Linked DNA regions of Saccharomyces cerevisiae S288C. Each later gene encodes a partner of the first gene's protein in a complex. Each region holds a gene or a part of one and is shown on either strand. Other genes may lie near its edges. A codon is read from its position in the direction of its gene.

The links.
Region 2: the proteins of STE18 (region 1) and STE4 are in contact, whole or in part, in a cryo-EM structure (PDB 7AD3), measured with the Saccharomyces cerevisiae proteins. Residues at the interface, in NP_012619.1 of Saccharomyces cerevisiae: Arg50 (codon at 5,155), Ile51 (codon at 5,158), Thr52 (codon at 5,161), Ala53 (codon at 5,164), Ser54 (codon at 5,167), Asn55 (codon at 5,170), Ala56 (codon at 5,173), Cys57 (codon at 5,176), Leu58 (codon at 5,179), Thr59 (codon at 5,182), Ile60 (codon at 5,185), Ile61 (codon at 5,188), Tyr63 (codon at 5,194), Thr64 (codon at 5,197), Ser65 (codon at 5,200), Thr67 (codon at 5,206), Lys68 (codon at 5,209), Asp69 (codon at 5,212), Tyr70 (codon at 5,215), Thr71 (codon at 5,218), Leu72 (codon at 5,221); in NP_014855.3 of Saccharomyces cerevisiae: Ile60 (codon at 3,202), Ala63 (codon at 3,193), Ser64 (codon at 3,190), Leu65 (codon at 3,187), Met68 (codon at 3,178), Ala69 (codon at 3,175), Leu75 (codon at 3,157), Lys79 (codon at 3,145), Asn81 (codon at 3,139), Phe279 (codon at 2,545), Asp281 (codon at 2,539), Ser284 (codon at 2,530), Met296 (codon at 2,494), Asp298 (codon at 2,488), Arg300 (codon at 2,482), Ser301 (codon at 2,479), Ile305 (codon at 2,467), Ser360 (codon at 2,302), Gly361 (codon at 2,299), Arg362 (codon at 2,296), Leu379 (codon at 2,245), Gly421 (codon at 2,119), Tyr422 (codon at 2,116).

The regions. Positions count from the first base shown.
Region 1 is NC_001142.9:581,061-586,900, forward strand, and holds STE18 (Ste18p), read left to right. Parts: upstream 1-5,007; coding exon 5,008-5,340; downstream 5,341-5,840. Other genes in the region: YJR079W (uncharacterized protein), read left to right, coding at 1-179; AIM24 (Aim24p), read right to left, coding at 1-556; EAF6 (Eaf6p), read right to left, coding at 854-1,195; ACF4 (Acf4p), read right to left, coding at 1,548-2,477; YJR084W (uncharacterized protein), read left to right, coding at 2,673-3,944; TMH11 (Tmh11p), read right to left, coding at 4,060-4,377; EMC2 (Emc2p), read right to left, coding at 5,435-5,840. UniProt on the Saccharomyces cerevisiae protein: Implicated in the pheromone A- and alpha-factor response pathway. The beta and gamma chains of the putative yeast mating response pathway G protein play a positive role in initiation of the mating response.
Region 2 is NC_001147.6:739,403-746,288, reverse strand, and holds STE4 (G protein subunit beta), read right to left. Parts: upstream 3,380-6,886; coding exon 2,108-3,379; downstream 1-2,107. Other genes in the region: SPR2 (Spr2p), read left to right, coding at 1-696; SAS5 (Sas5p), read left to right, coding at 1,008-1,754; dynamin-related GTPase MGM1, read left to right, coding at 4,720-6,886. UniProt on the Saccharomyces cerevisiae protein: Implicated in the a- and alpha-factor response pathway. The beta and gamma chains of the putative yeast mating response pathway G protein play a positive role in initiation of the mating response.

The DNA.
Region 1 (5,840 bases):
TTGATGAGTTCGAGACTAAAGACCTTGCAGAGGGAAAGATAGGCGATTTGATTTCCAGACTGGAGTTCTGTTCAAATGCGATAATTGAATCCTTGCCAAATACATTCCAATCCTTTGTCCCGGTCAAATTCAGTACGGACAAGCTTCTTGAAGAATCGAAAGGTCTTCTCGATGTTTGAAAGTTTGGGGCAGCCAGAATTTCTAAAACGGAGGATCCAATAATTCTATGAAACAATGAAGATTTGAATGAACGAAATTTAATCAGGTTTGACCAAAAATTCAGCCATTTATAGGAAAGGGATAAATGGTTCAAATTGTGAATGGAAACTAGGCAATCCTTTTTGATACAAATTGGAATATCTGGTTGAACAGTGATAGATGCAATTTTACCATTTTCGTCTACTAGCCTGAAACGGGAAGTCGCAATATCCTTGCTTAAGTTCTCGATATATGTCCTTTCTTTAGTTACGACATTACTCTCCGTCTTGGCCGCTTGTGGGCTCAAAAGAGAAATTGATCTCTGCCAAACTCGAGTATTCACCCTTGGGCTTATCATGATGGGTGGATATCCTTTTCTGTGCTTCTGTTTTGTTTATCTGTATCCGTTTATTCGCCAGCCAATAAAATGACTGGGAGCACGGGACCTTTGAAATTTTGCCCTTGTTAGTAAATCGTTATAAAAATACTTATATAGATATTTTATAGAAAATGAAAAATAAAAGAAATAGCCAATATGTAGGTATATCGAACTTAAAGGTCACCTGTCGAAATCATTTCCTTCTTCTCTCTTTTTCTTTTCAATCAGATGTTTTAGAGCGGTCAAGCAACGTAAATACCAACGTGTGCTATCGCATTAGTCGTTTTGTGATTGGCCATGCTGCTGCTTCACGTACGTAGCACTACTTAATGAAAAAATACGATCATTGTTATTGAATGCAGAATCTGCATGGCTGTGGTGTGACTTGGAGAAGGTATCAAACCCTTTTATGATGTTACCAGAATAGTGTGATTTTGACCCATGGGCTCCCCCATGACCTGAATGGTTGTTATTACTATTGTGTGAGAAATACTCGGTCTCTTTATCATATATCTCTTGTTGTAAGTTGTCAAAGGTATCTTCTTGCTCTCTTCTATCTTGGAGGGACTTTTTTAGTTCCGCTTTCAATGCTTCATAACTTTTCAGCTCATCAGTCATTTTCTTCTAGGCGTAGGTTGGTAACAAACGGAAAGATGATGGAAAATGGCTGTTCTCTAAAGATGTTTATCTTACGTATATTCTTTGCTTTCGTTGTGGCTTTACACACCTTTAATCATTAATTTAATGGCATAGTCGGCAAGTTGTTGAAGGACCTGGGTTAATCGCCTACATGTGAGGTTTTTTTAAAAATATCAATTACATTTAAAAAAGGAAAGCAGTAGTACCAAAAATCGGGCAAAAAAAATTTACCTAAATAAAGGAATGCATAAATGAAGCCGTTTAATCTTTGTATTTAATGAGAATATTACATATGAAGGTCTCTTGAGAAAGCATCAATAGTGGACATTAGCTACCTTTTAAATAAATGAACGGGTATGTCACCCATGGGTTCAAACTCTTCATCATCCTCGTCTTCACTGCGTACTTCATCGTATTCGTAACCCAAATTTTCTTTTATGTAATAGTGATCTTTCTTACTTTTCCTCTTTTCCAAAAGGTCATCGAATTCGTCCTCTTCCATATTCATTTGATTGAATTTGTTAAGTATTCTTTGTAAGAATGGTGTGTTCTCCCCAGCAGTTGCCGTGGTATTAGCATTCTTCATAGTATTCCTTGGGGGTAGCAAGGGAGGACCCGATGTTGGAGTTGATTCTGAACTACGGCTTGGAGCAATATTTTGCATACGTTGTGACCGATTAGGCGGAGGGTTCGGTTTACGATTGGGTAGAGTGTTATTTATGTTGCTATTAACATTATTATTGGGCTTACTAAAAAAATCGTTTATACTCTTTTTTCCCTTGAGCATATTTGGTGAATTATTTACGTCCACAAATGTCTGTTGAATTCTTTTGGTAAAAGTAGAGAGGTATTCACTTGGGTTCTGGTTACCTAATTTCTGTTGTCCATTTCGGGGCAGTGTATCTTTGAACTGTAACTCTAATTGTTTTAATTCTTTTTGGGCGACCTCTAATTTGAAACTAAGTTCATTGATTTCTCTGTGTTTTGCAGCTAATTTATATATTAAATCTTGGTCTGTTGAAATCGGACTTGCGTGGTCGCTCACGGGTGACTGATTTGTCGTAGATCTTTGCGGACTTGATATAGGTATAGCAAGTCTTTTGGGCTTTAAAGGTGTCGTAACCCTTGGTGATTTTGATTCAGGCTGCACTTCATGTTGTTTTTGATGCGGCTGTTGCTGCTGTCCTTGGGAGTGTTTATCGACAATCGACAGCTTATGTAATTCAATTGGTTGACTAATTACACGCTGGTCTTCTGACATTACTTTAGGGCGTATGTATGGATGTATTTTGTATTGCTTTTGGCTAGTTAGTAGTATTCCTCAATCGTATTGTTTTTGATTTTGAAAAAGCTAACGATAAAGGTCAGGAAAAAAAAAGAAAATTGTATGTAAAGGAATGTCTGGAGAGAGTTACACAGGAACAGAAAGGTCCAGCAACGGTTTCTACAACCAATCATGGATGTTGATATAGGATGTTATTTTGAAGAGAAACGCTATGACGACAAACTGTTAGACTTCATCAGATATGACGTTAAAACACCTAAAAAGACTAAATATATACTACAAAGGCCTACGGCGACAGATGAAGAGAGTGTACGATTACAAAGGTTTTACCAATTAGGAGTAGATCTAAAATTGAAGTATTCCAAGCGGAGGTCATTGAAGAAGCAAGGGCGGATCAAGAATGCTACTGAGGAATTGCTGCGATTAGCCAATGAACAGTTGAAACTTTTCAACAGAATAGTAGAAAGAGAAACCAATTGGATAATTTATCCGCTGTGGGTAATGGCTAAACAATTAATTCGTCTGGCAAACGAATCTAGTGAACTTAATAAAGACTCAATTGAGGAATGTGGACGCACTATCCATAGAAGCTTTACTATATGCCTCAATGATAGGAACCCAAGATTGAATGAAAATAAAAAAATCGGGTGTTATATGTTTGCTAATCTAGAGTTTTCCATCTACCATCGGTTAAGTAATAAAGATATGATTAAAAATTTAGTGAAAGTCCTCGAGAGCAGAGTGAACGCCCGGGATATACCACCGTTGAATAAAAGCCTGGCAATGGAACATAAGTCTCAAGTGGTGTTGTATAATTATTATCTAGGTCAATACTACGGATGTCTGGAAAACGATCACGAACGCGGGTTCTTCCATTTAAATGAAGCATTATTGCAATGTCCAATGCTATATGTGGAATCTACCGGCAAGTTCGTCTTACAGGGCCAAATGGAAAAGATAATGATACTGCTGGTTCCGCTTGCTCTTTTAACTAAAAGGTTGTACCCTCACTGGGATCATCCAGTAATCGCCGGAGTAATTACTAGGAGTAAGCGCTTAAGTCAAGTTTATCCGACATTAGTGCGTAGCGTAATCTCAGGGAACCTGTCACTGTACGAGGCTACCGCAGCAAGCCATGAAAGATTTTTCCTTTCGCAAGGATTGCATGTCGTCATCACATTACTTCGAGAGGTGGTCTTCACTCGGTTGGTACAACGATGTTGGCAATGGGGGAATGATCGGAAAAGTATCATGCCCTTGAAAATTCTTCTGGCAACAAAACAACACGATAGTTCTGCCAATGAGGACGAAGAGGAGCAGTTGGATGCCCTAGAATGCCGTCTAGCAAGTGCTATAGCAAGTGGGCTTTTGCGTGCTTATCTTTCTCACTCCAACCGCTGCATCGTTTTCAGTAAGAAGGAGCCCTTTCCCCATAGCAAATGATAGAAAAATAGTCAATAATTGAACGAAGAAAAAAAAAAGAAAGTTTGTTCATAAAAGAATATCATATTATATATATATATAGGGTCGTATATATATCGTGCGTCTTCTTCCTTCTCTAAGGGTAAAATTCCTTGTATTTGTTATAATAGTAGTAACTGCCGAGCCCACCCAAAGCTGTCAAAACGACAGGGACAGGTTTAGTGAACCTGGAAGGCATGCCTCTTATGACACCAGCACCAAGTAGTAAGGTCGATGCACCCAATGCCATTTCGAGCCCACCATCTCTATTCATATGTAGCAAGTAACCGGCAATCCCATATACACTACCGAATACTAAGCCAGATACTAGAGATGGAATGGAGCCCTTACGGTAGTATCCCATAAGGCCACCGGCTGTAGTCAAAAGACTCAATGTATATGCTGGATGTTCCATAGTGTGATCTGATGTTCCTTTCTCTCAAACTTCGTTTCTGTCTTGTCTCCCGCTGTTACCTAATAACTTCATGTGATCTGCTCCCCCTTCTCGTTAAATACCACCTTTTCATCAACCCCGTAGGGCGCGACACGTCTAAAATATTAACCTCTGAATACTTATTGGGTCAAAATGAATGTTGATAACTTTCCTTTACAAAAAAAAAACTAATAGAGTATATGCATTTCGGTAGTGAAATATTCGTTAATGCTAATATGCTCAGTAGTGATCCTAGATTACCAGTTTTACTGCAGCCATCGTACAATTTTGGAACGAGTATAAAGAGAGAAATTAAAAACGACAAGAAATATTCGTACTAGCTTCTCTTCCGGCTTGATGACAGTCTTAATATCATCTGCAACTCTTGAAATCTTGCTTTATAGTCAAAATTTACGTACGCTTTTCACTATATAATATGATTTGTCAATGTGATGAGTGAATGTCTCCCTGTTACCCGGTTTTCATGTTGATTTTTGTTTCAGGCTCTAAATGTTTGATGCAATATTTAACAAGGAGAACAGAAATGTTTTGTGACAGCACCTGTCAATTTTAGGATAGTAGCAATCGCAAACGTTCTCAATAATTCTAAGAATGACATCAGTTCAAAACTCTCCACGCTTACAACAACCTCAGGAACAGCAACAGCAACAGCAACAGCTTTCCTTAAAGATAAAACAATTGAAGTTAAAAAGAATCAACGAACTTAACAATAAACTGAGGAAAGAACTCAGCCGTGAAAGAATTACTGCTTCAAATGCATGTCTTACAATAATAAACTATACCTCGAATACAAAAGATTATACATTACCAGAACTATGGGGCTACCCCGTAGCAGGATCAAATCATTTTATAGAGGGTTTGAAAAATGCTCAAAAAAATAGCCAAATGTCAAACTCAAATAGTGTTTGTTGTACGCTTATGTAATGATAGTAATAGAATCCAAAAAAAAAAAAAATATACATGCTTTTTCATATCCTCTCTCACCCTATCTTTTTTTTTCTTCTAATTTTGGCTCCGTTCATATCTTATTCAAAATTAATTCAGCGGTAATCTTATCTTTATTGTTAGACTTCGCAGAAATTTCCTTTAGCTTCGATGCAGATAGTTTGATCAAGTCATTTTGTTTATTACGTCCCAGTTCGCGAGAAATGATGTTAACCAATGCCCACCCTTTTAGGTATAGTTCGCTAAGTTCAACGCTCCTCAAAGCATTCTTTAATGCCTTTTCCAAGAGCTCGGTCTTGGTTTGTTTCTTGCTACGTAGAGCCTCATAATACAGAGTCTCACTTAGCCTACCAAAACAAGCGTAATTGAATGGTGTAATACATAGGACCTGTTCCAAACAATAACAGGCTTTTTCAAATTGGCCCATTTCGAAATAAATCTCGCTGGCATACCACCACAATTCTGCATCAAGCGGGAAT
Region 2 (6,886 bases), on another chromosome or scaffold:
CTATCCTCCCTTTTCTTCGCCTTTTTTATGGCACAAGTGTTTGCTACCAAATACTCAATTACTTTTACATCAGATGAGTATGAAGAAGATGAAACAGGACAAAATGAACCTGGTCCTTTAGTTTTCCATTTGGATAAAAACTCATTACCACCAGCTCTGCTAAATCAAATGGAGTTTAATCCATACTTAGTATTAGCAGATTTACCGGAGGAGCCGCGAGCTGTTGATTCTCAAGAACATACCGATACGGTCCTTGCTTCCAAATCTGTTATAGATTTTCTGTTGGAAGATCCTCTAACAATAGTGGAGCACAAAAAGTTTTCTCAAATTGAAAGTATTCTACATGAAATTATGGAAGACAGCATACAGAAGAAAGTCGGGGCAGACGAGGTATTTGAAGAGATTCCGAAACCGAAAATTTACGCGTATGAAGATATTTTAGTAACTAATATGAGCATCATCAATAATAGTGAAATGCCGACAAGTACTGCAACATTAACGAGCACCATTTCTTATTTATCTAGTACGACAAGTTTAGCTTTATCCACGGGTGTTACCAGCGTTGAGATTTTCCCAACAATCACCCCGGGAAATATTACAACTATTGGGGGATACGAAAATTCATCATCCTCCTTAATGCCGTCGATGGGAATCTTATCTTTTCTATTTGGTCTGTACTTGTTACTTCACCCTTAAAGTTCGGCAGTCATATAATCAAAGTTTTGATAGAGAAAGCATTTATATAACATATAAGCAAATGACCAATTAATGGTATTATTTAGTGACGTTTACAGCTGGCGCGGTCGCGTTACACGGGCAAGAAAAAATCAAAGCCACATCAATAAGTCATCACCATTAGAGAGTTGCACGACAACAAACTAGAACAGCCATGTTCGGGTGAAGAGGAAGTGCAGCAACTCAAGTTTTTCTACAGACTAAATTGTTTTTACTCTTGACTCCAAAAGCCCTTTTTTTTTTTTTTGGTGCCATATAATAGACGCTCTTTTATGGATCATTCAATAGAAGTCACTTTCAGAGTAAAAACACAACAGGTTATAATACCGGAACAAAACATCCGGGGAAATGAACTTCCCTTACGTCGGTGGCAGATGGAACTCCTCATGTTAGATGCAACAGGAAAGGAAGTGGAGCCTACCATCCTCTCTAAATGCATCTACCATTTGCACTCTAGCTTCAAACAGCCCAAAAGACGACTGAACTCGCTGCCATTTTTTATCAAGGAAACCGGTTGGGGAGAGTTTAACTTAAAAATAGAATGCTTTTTTATAGGTAACGCTGGAAAGTTTAGCATTGAACATGACTTAACGTTTGAAGATGATGCATATGCAGTTGACTATACCGTTGATGTGCCTCATGAATTCTCACATCTCAATAGTGAACTATCTAAATATTTTGATCTCCCGTGGAAAGTAGTGTCTCCGGAGGAAGAAATGTCTCTTCGTATAGCCGATTTGCCCTGGATTAAAAGCCTTGCGCTTATAGATGAGGATATGATGACGGACGTGGTTCAGATGATATTGAATGATCCTGCAGTACAGAGAGCAATTGAAAATCATCCCAGAAGGGAGCAGTTTTTTATGTTTATAACACAACTACCAGATGATTTGTTAATGAAAATTCAGGCATTTTTGAAATTACCGAACAAAAATTCCACTAAACAAGAAAGGACAAATTTTGGGTCAGACGCAATACATAAGGACGAGCCAGTGAAGGCTCATAACAAGCTAAAGTAGGGACAGCCATCATGAAATTAAACAATGCCTGAAAACATAGATGATTCTAGCAAGTTGGTCAAATAAGTCAGTGAATAATACTGTTTCCAAAACGATTGAAAAGAATTTTTGAGTGCATGACACTTTTGTTCGTTTTTGTTTCGTTTATCCAAAGAGAAAAAGGAAGCAAATGACAATGCTTTGAATTTTCATTGTTGAATGTTTTGACTTACTTTATTAAAGGACGTTTTTGCGCTTCCACAGAACTAATGTTACTGTTGTTATTCTATGTAAATATGGGATGGGTGTAGGTATGTATATTTATATAATAGCATCCATTGATAATTACTGCTCACAGTATTTCCAATTCGAAGCTATTGATAACCTGGAGACCATATTTTCATGGTTGAGTCCCATGAACCTGTACATACAGCTAACCCATCTGGACTCGAGCGCACACCAGTGACTCTGCCACCATGACCTTCTAATTTTCCAACAATCTCTCCTTTTAATACATCCCACACAACACAACCAATGTCTGTATAGCATGAGTACATCAATCTTCCAGATGCACTAAAATCTAAAGAAACAACGCCTTGGTTGTCTAGATAGCTTGAGCTTGTTGATTTTAAAGTTTGTGGCGATTGCGCGGTATTGTACTCCATGTTAGCTGCCATATAAGTAGGGGTAGGGGTACGTTCTTCATAACCTCGAAAAAGAGAAAAAGTAGCAATAGAACAGTCCGACCTTAAATCATACATATTTATCGCACCATTGTCACTTCCTGCAACAATCGACATCCCGTCTTTGAAAAAACGAAGTGCATTAATATCACTATCGTTAACGTAAAAGCTTTGTACAGCGGACGGAGATCTGCTATCCCATATGTAAGTATACCCGTCTGATCCACAGCTAGCGAATGTGTTCGAAGAATTTTCTGAGTTTGGCTCTTCAGGAATAGCTAATGCCAAAACATCACCTAAATGGTCAGAATATTCTCTCACCCTCTTTGCTTTCGGTATATCCCACAAGGCACATGTCATATCCCCACTTGCTGTCAATATATGTGCGTTATCTGTAAATTCAATGTCAGAAATATAGCAAGTATGTCCTTTGAAAATTGACGCAACGTTTTGCGCTACTCTGTTTTCTTTCGAAACTCTATAAATGGTACAGTTATTGTTTAATCCTGCGCTTGCTACCAAAGTACTCGATGGCGAAATAGCGCAGGAAAGAACCCATTGAGAATCTAATGGAATAGCGTTCTGTTTTAAACCTGAAGCACTGTCCCATATAAGCATAAAGCCATCTTGACTTGCACTCAAAATACGTTTTGAATCTCGACTCCACCGAAAATCTGAGATTTTATTATTATGGCCTTTCAACACGATATTTGGCTTTAAGTTGATCTTATTTTTGGTCAACGAAGTAACTTTGTTGGCCATCTGGAATAAGCTTGCATCTTGTATCTTGTGTTTTGCTTTATTTATTTGAGCATGAAGCTGTTTACTCTCTTGTCTGGCGGCCTCTATTTTATTTTGAATTTCATCCTCCACTGCAGAGATATCCTGTAGACTTTGTGGTTGTATATACTGTTGGGTGACATTATTAGAATACGTTATCGAGTCCATCTGATGTGCTGCCATCGTAATGTGTACCTGATTGAGCTGTACAGTTTTTTGAGTATTTTCTTCCTTGACTTAATGAACTAGCAATATCGTATTTTCTTCCCTCTTTCCTTCCAATAATTCTGGCCTATTGACCTTGAGTTCTGGCACAAAGGAGATTATGAATAAAATGTGCTTTACAGCGAGTTACTACAAAAAGGGGAAGAAAACAATTAGAAAAGTGATAAGAGATTTTGAGGATACTGTTTCGATATTGAAGGGATTCAAGTCATGTGAAGGATGGACTTCCAAAAAAGTTTTATGTTTGAAAGTTTAAGTTACAACTAATATGAAACAGGCAAGTGTCAGTTGAAAACAATCTGAAAAAATTTTCGACACACAGAAAAACAACTGTTGGGTAAACCTAACAGGGCTACAAGTCAATCTGTTAAGGCAAAAAGCCTCACAAACTTTTTCCTGCGTAACACATGTGTCTTTTTTTTACGCAGTATCTCTTCCTGAAACATTTTTCAACGCGTGTAAAAATTTGCATCTGACGAAAGTGCGTACAAAGGGTTGTGGTCCCAAAAGAGGTAGTACACGCCGAGAATTTGCACAGGGTACTGGTTACAAAAGGTAAGTACCCCCCGCAGGGACGGTTGAAGCTATTGAATCTTCGTCTCATCGGCTGATATCAAAATCCGATCATACATACCCATCTCAATCTCAATAATTGACATTTCATTTAGCCAGAGAAGAACATCGACAAGTAAGCTGTTCTTCTGCTCGCTAATGGTAAATGAAGTAGTCGCTCTTAAGTAATTATAAATAGTACATCTCTCTCAGCGGATGACATATTGTGATAAAATTTTAACGCAGGTGTCAGTAAATAACAGAGTTGTAATTAGTTTTAACTGCAAAAGACTTCGCAAAGAACATATGGCGGGGTTTATCCTTGAAAAAACGGTTTCCATAGGAAGCCTAAAATATGAATGGATCTAGTGTACTCTTTGAGGAAATATATTTCAAATATTTCTGTCCATGAAAGATTTACTATGAAATTAACCCTCATTCAGCGCTTCGTATTCGATGATCAATATGCAAGTTGTTAATATTTCCTTGTACCGTTAAAAACAAAATAGTAGCGTTCTATTGAAAGGCAAGACATAATCAGCTAGGAAGGTTCACACCAGTTAACGGGAGAACACGAAAAAGCCTCTTTTTGGGTAGTACAGATATCATTTTATTCTTAGGCTTTTCCATTCTTTTCGTACTTATAATATAGCCTCGCATATTCACCATAATACTCTGAAAGCATGAGTAATTCTACTTCATTAAGGGCCATCCCAAGAGTGGCGAACTATAACACATTAGTAAGGATGAATGCGAGCCCAGTACGGCTTTTAATTCTGAGAAGACAGCTTGCTACGCATCCGGCGATACTATATAGCTCTCCTTACATCAAAAGTCCGTTGGTGCACTTACACAGCCGCATGAGCAATGTTCACAGATCAGCACATGCCAATGCTTTGAGTTTTGTTATCACCAGGAGATCGATATCACATTTTCCTAAAATTATATCTAAAATTATTAGGTTACCCATATATGTGGGTGGCGGGATGGCTGCTGCAGGGAGTTATATAGCTTATAAGATGGAAGAAGCTAGCTCTTTTACTAAGGACAAACTAGATCGAATCAAGGATTTAGGTGAATCGATGAAGGAAAAGTTTAATAAAATGTTTTCCGGTGATAAGTCACAAGACGGTGGTCATGGAAACGATGGAACGGTGCCAACTGCTACTCTAATAGCCGCTACATCACTCGACGATGACGAAAGTAAGAGGCAAGGAGATCCTAAAGATGATGACGACGAAGATGATGATGACGAGGATGATGAAAACGATTCTGTAGATACAACGCAAGACGAAATGTTAAACTTAACCAAACAAATGATTGAAATTAGAACTATTTTGAATAAAGTGGACTCTTCTTCTGCACATTTAACTTTACCATCTATTGTCGTGATAGGTTCACAATCGTCTGGTAAATCCTCAGTACTAGAATCCATTGTTGGGAGGGAATTCTTACCAAAAGGTTCCAACATGGTCACAAGAAGACCCATTGAATTGACTTTGGTCAATACACCTAACTCGAATAATGTAACAGCTGATTTTCCAAGCATGCGTCTATACAATATCAAGGACTTTAAAGAGGTGAAAAGAATGCTAATGGAACTGAACATGGCCGTTCCGACTTCAGAGGCTGTTTCAGAGGAGCCTATTCAATTGACAATCAAATCGTCCCGCGTTCCAGATTTATCATTGGTGGATCTACCTGGCTATATACAAGTGGAAGCGGCAGACCAGCCAATAGAACTGAAAACAAAAATCCGTGACCTCTGCGAAAAATATTTGACTGCACCTAATATTATTTTAGCAATTTCTGCTGCGGATGTTGACCTGGCTAATAGTTCTGCTTTGAAAGCTTCTAAAGCGGCAGATCCTAAAGGCTTGAGAACGATAGGTGTCATTACCAAACTGGATTTGGTGGATCCTGAAAAAGCAAGAAGCATCTTGAATAATAAAAAATATCCTCTCAGTATGGGCTATGTAGGAGTGATTACTAAGACACCAAGTAGTATAAACAGAAAACACCTAGGTCTTTTCGGTGAAGCACCTTCTTCGTCATTAAGTGGGATATTTTCAAAAGGCCAGCACGGCCAAAGTAGCGGAGAAGAAAATACCAATGGTTTAAAACAAATTGTGTCTCATCAATTTGAAAAAGCTTATTTCAAAGAAAACAAAAAGTATTTTACCAATTGCCAAGTTTCCACTAAGAAATTGAGAGAAAAGTTGATCAAAATCTTGGAGATTTCCATGTCAAATGCGCTGGAGCCGACTTCAACACTTATTCAACAAGAGTTGGATGATACTTCTTATTTGTTTAAAGTAGAGTTTAACGACAGGCATCTAACTCCTAAATCATACCTTTTGAATAATATAGATGTACTAAAGTTGGGTATTAAAGAGTTTCAGGAAAAATTTCATAGAAATGAACTGAAATCAATCTTGAGAGCAGAATTGGATCAGAAAGTTTTAGATGTTTTGGCTACACGGTATTGGAAGGATGATAATCTTCAGGATCTATCTTCCTCTAAGCTGGAAAGTGATACCGATATGCTATATTGGCATAAAAAATTGGAACTCGCATCATCCGGCTTAACTAAAATGGGCATTGGTAGATTATCTACAATGCTTACTACCAATGCAATTTTAAAGGAGCTAGATAACATTCTGGAGTCTACTCAACTAAAAAACCATGAACTGATCAAAGACCTTGTTAGCAATACAGCCATTAACGTTCTAAACAGTAAATACTATTCAACGGCTGATCAAGTTGAGAACTGTATCAAACCCTTCAAGTATGAAATTGATTTGGAAGAAAGAGACTGGAGCCTTGCTCGTCAACATTCCATTAATTTAATAAAGGAAGAATTACGTCAATGTAACTCAAGGTACCAGGCAATCAAAAATGCCGTTGGCAGTA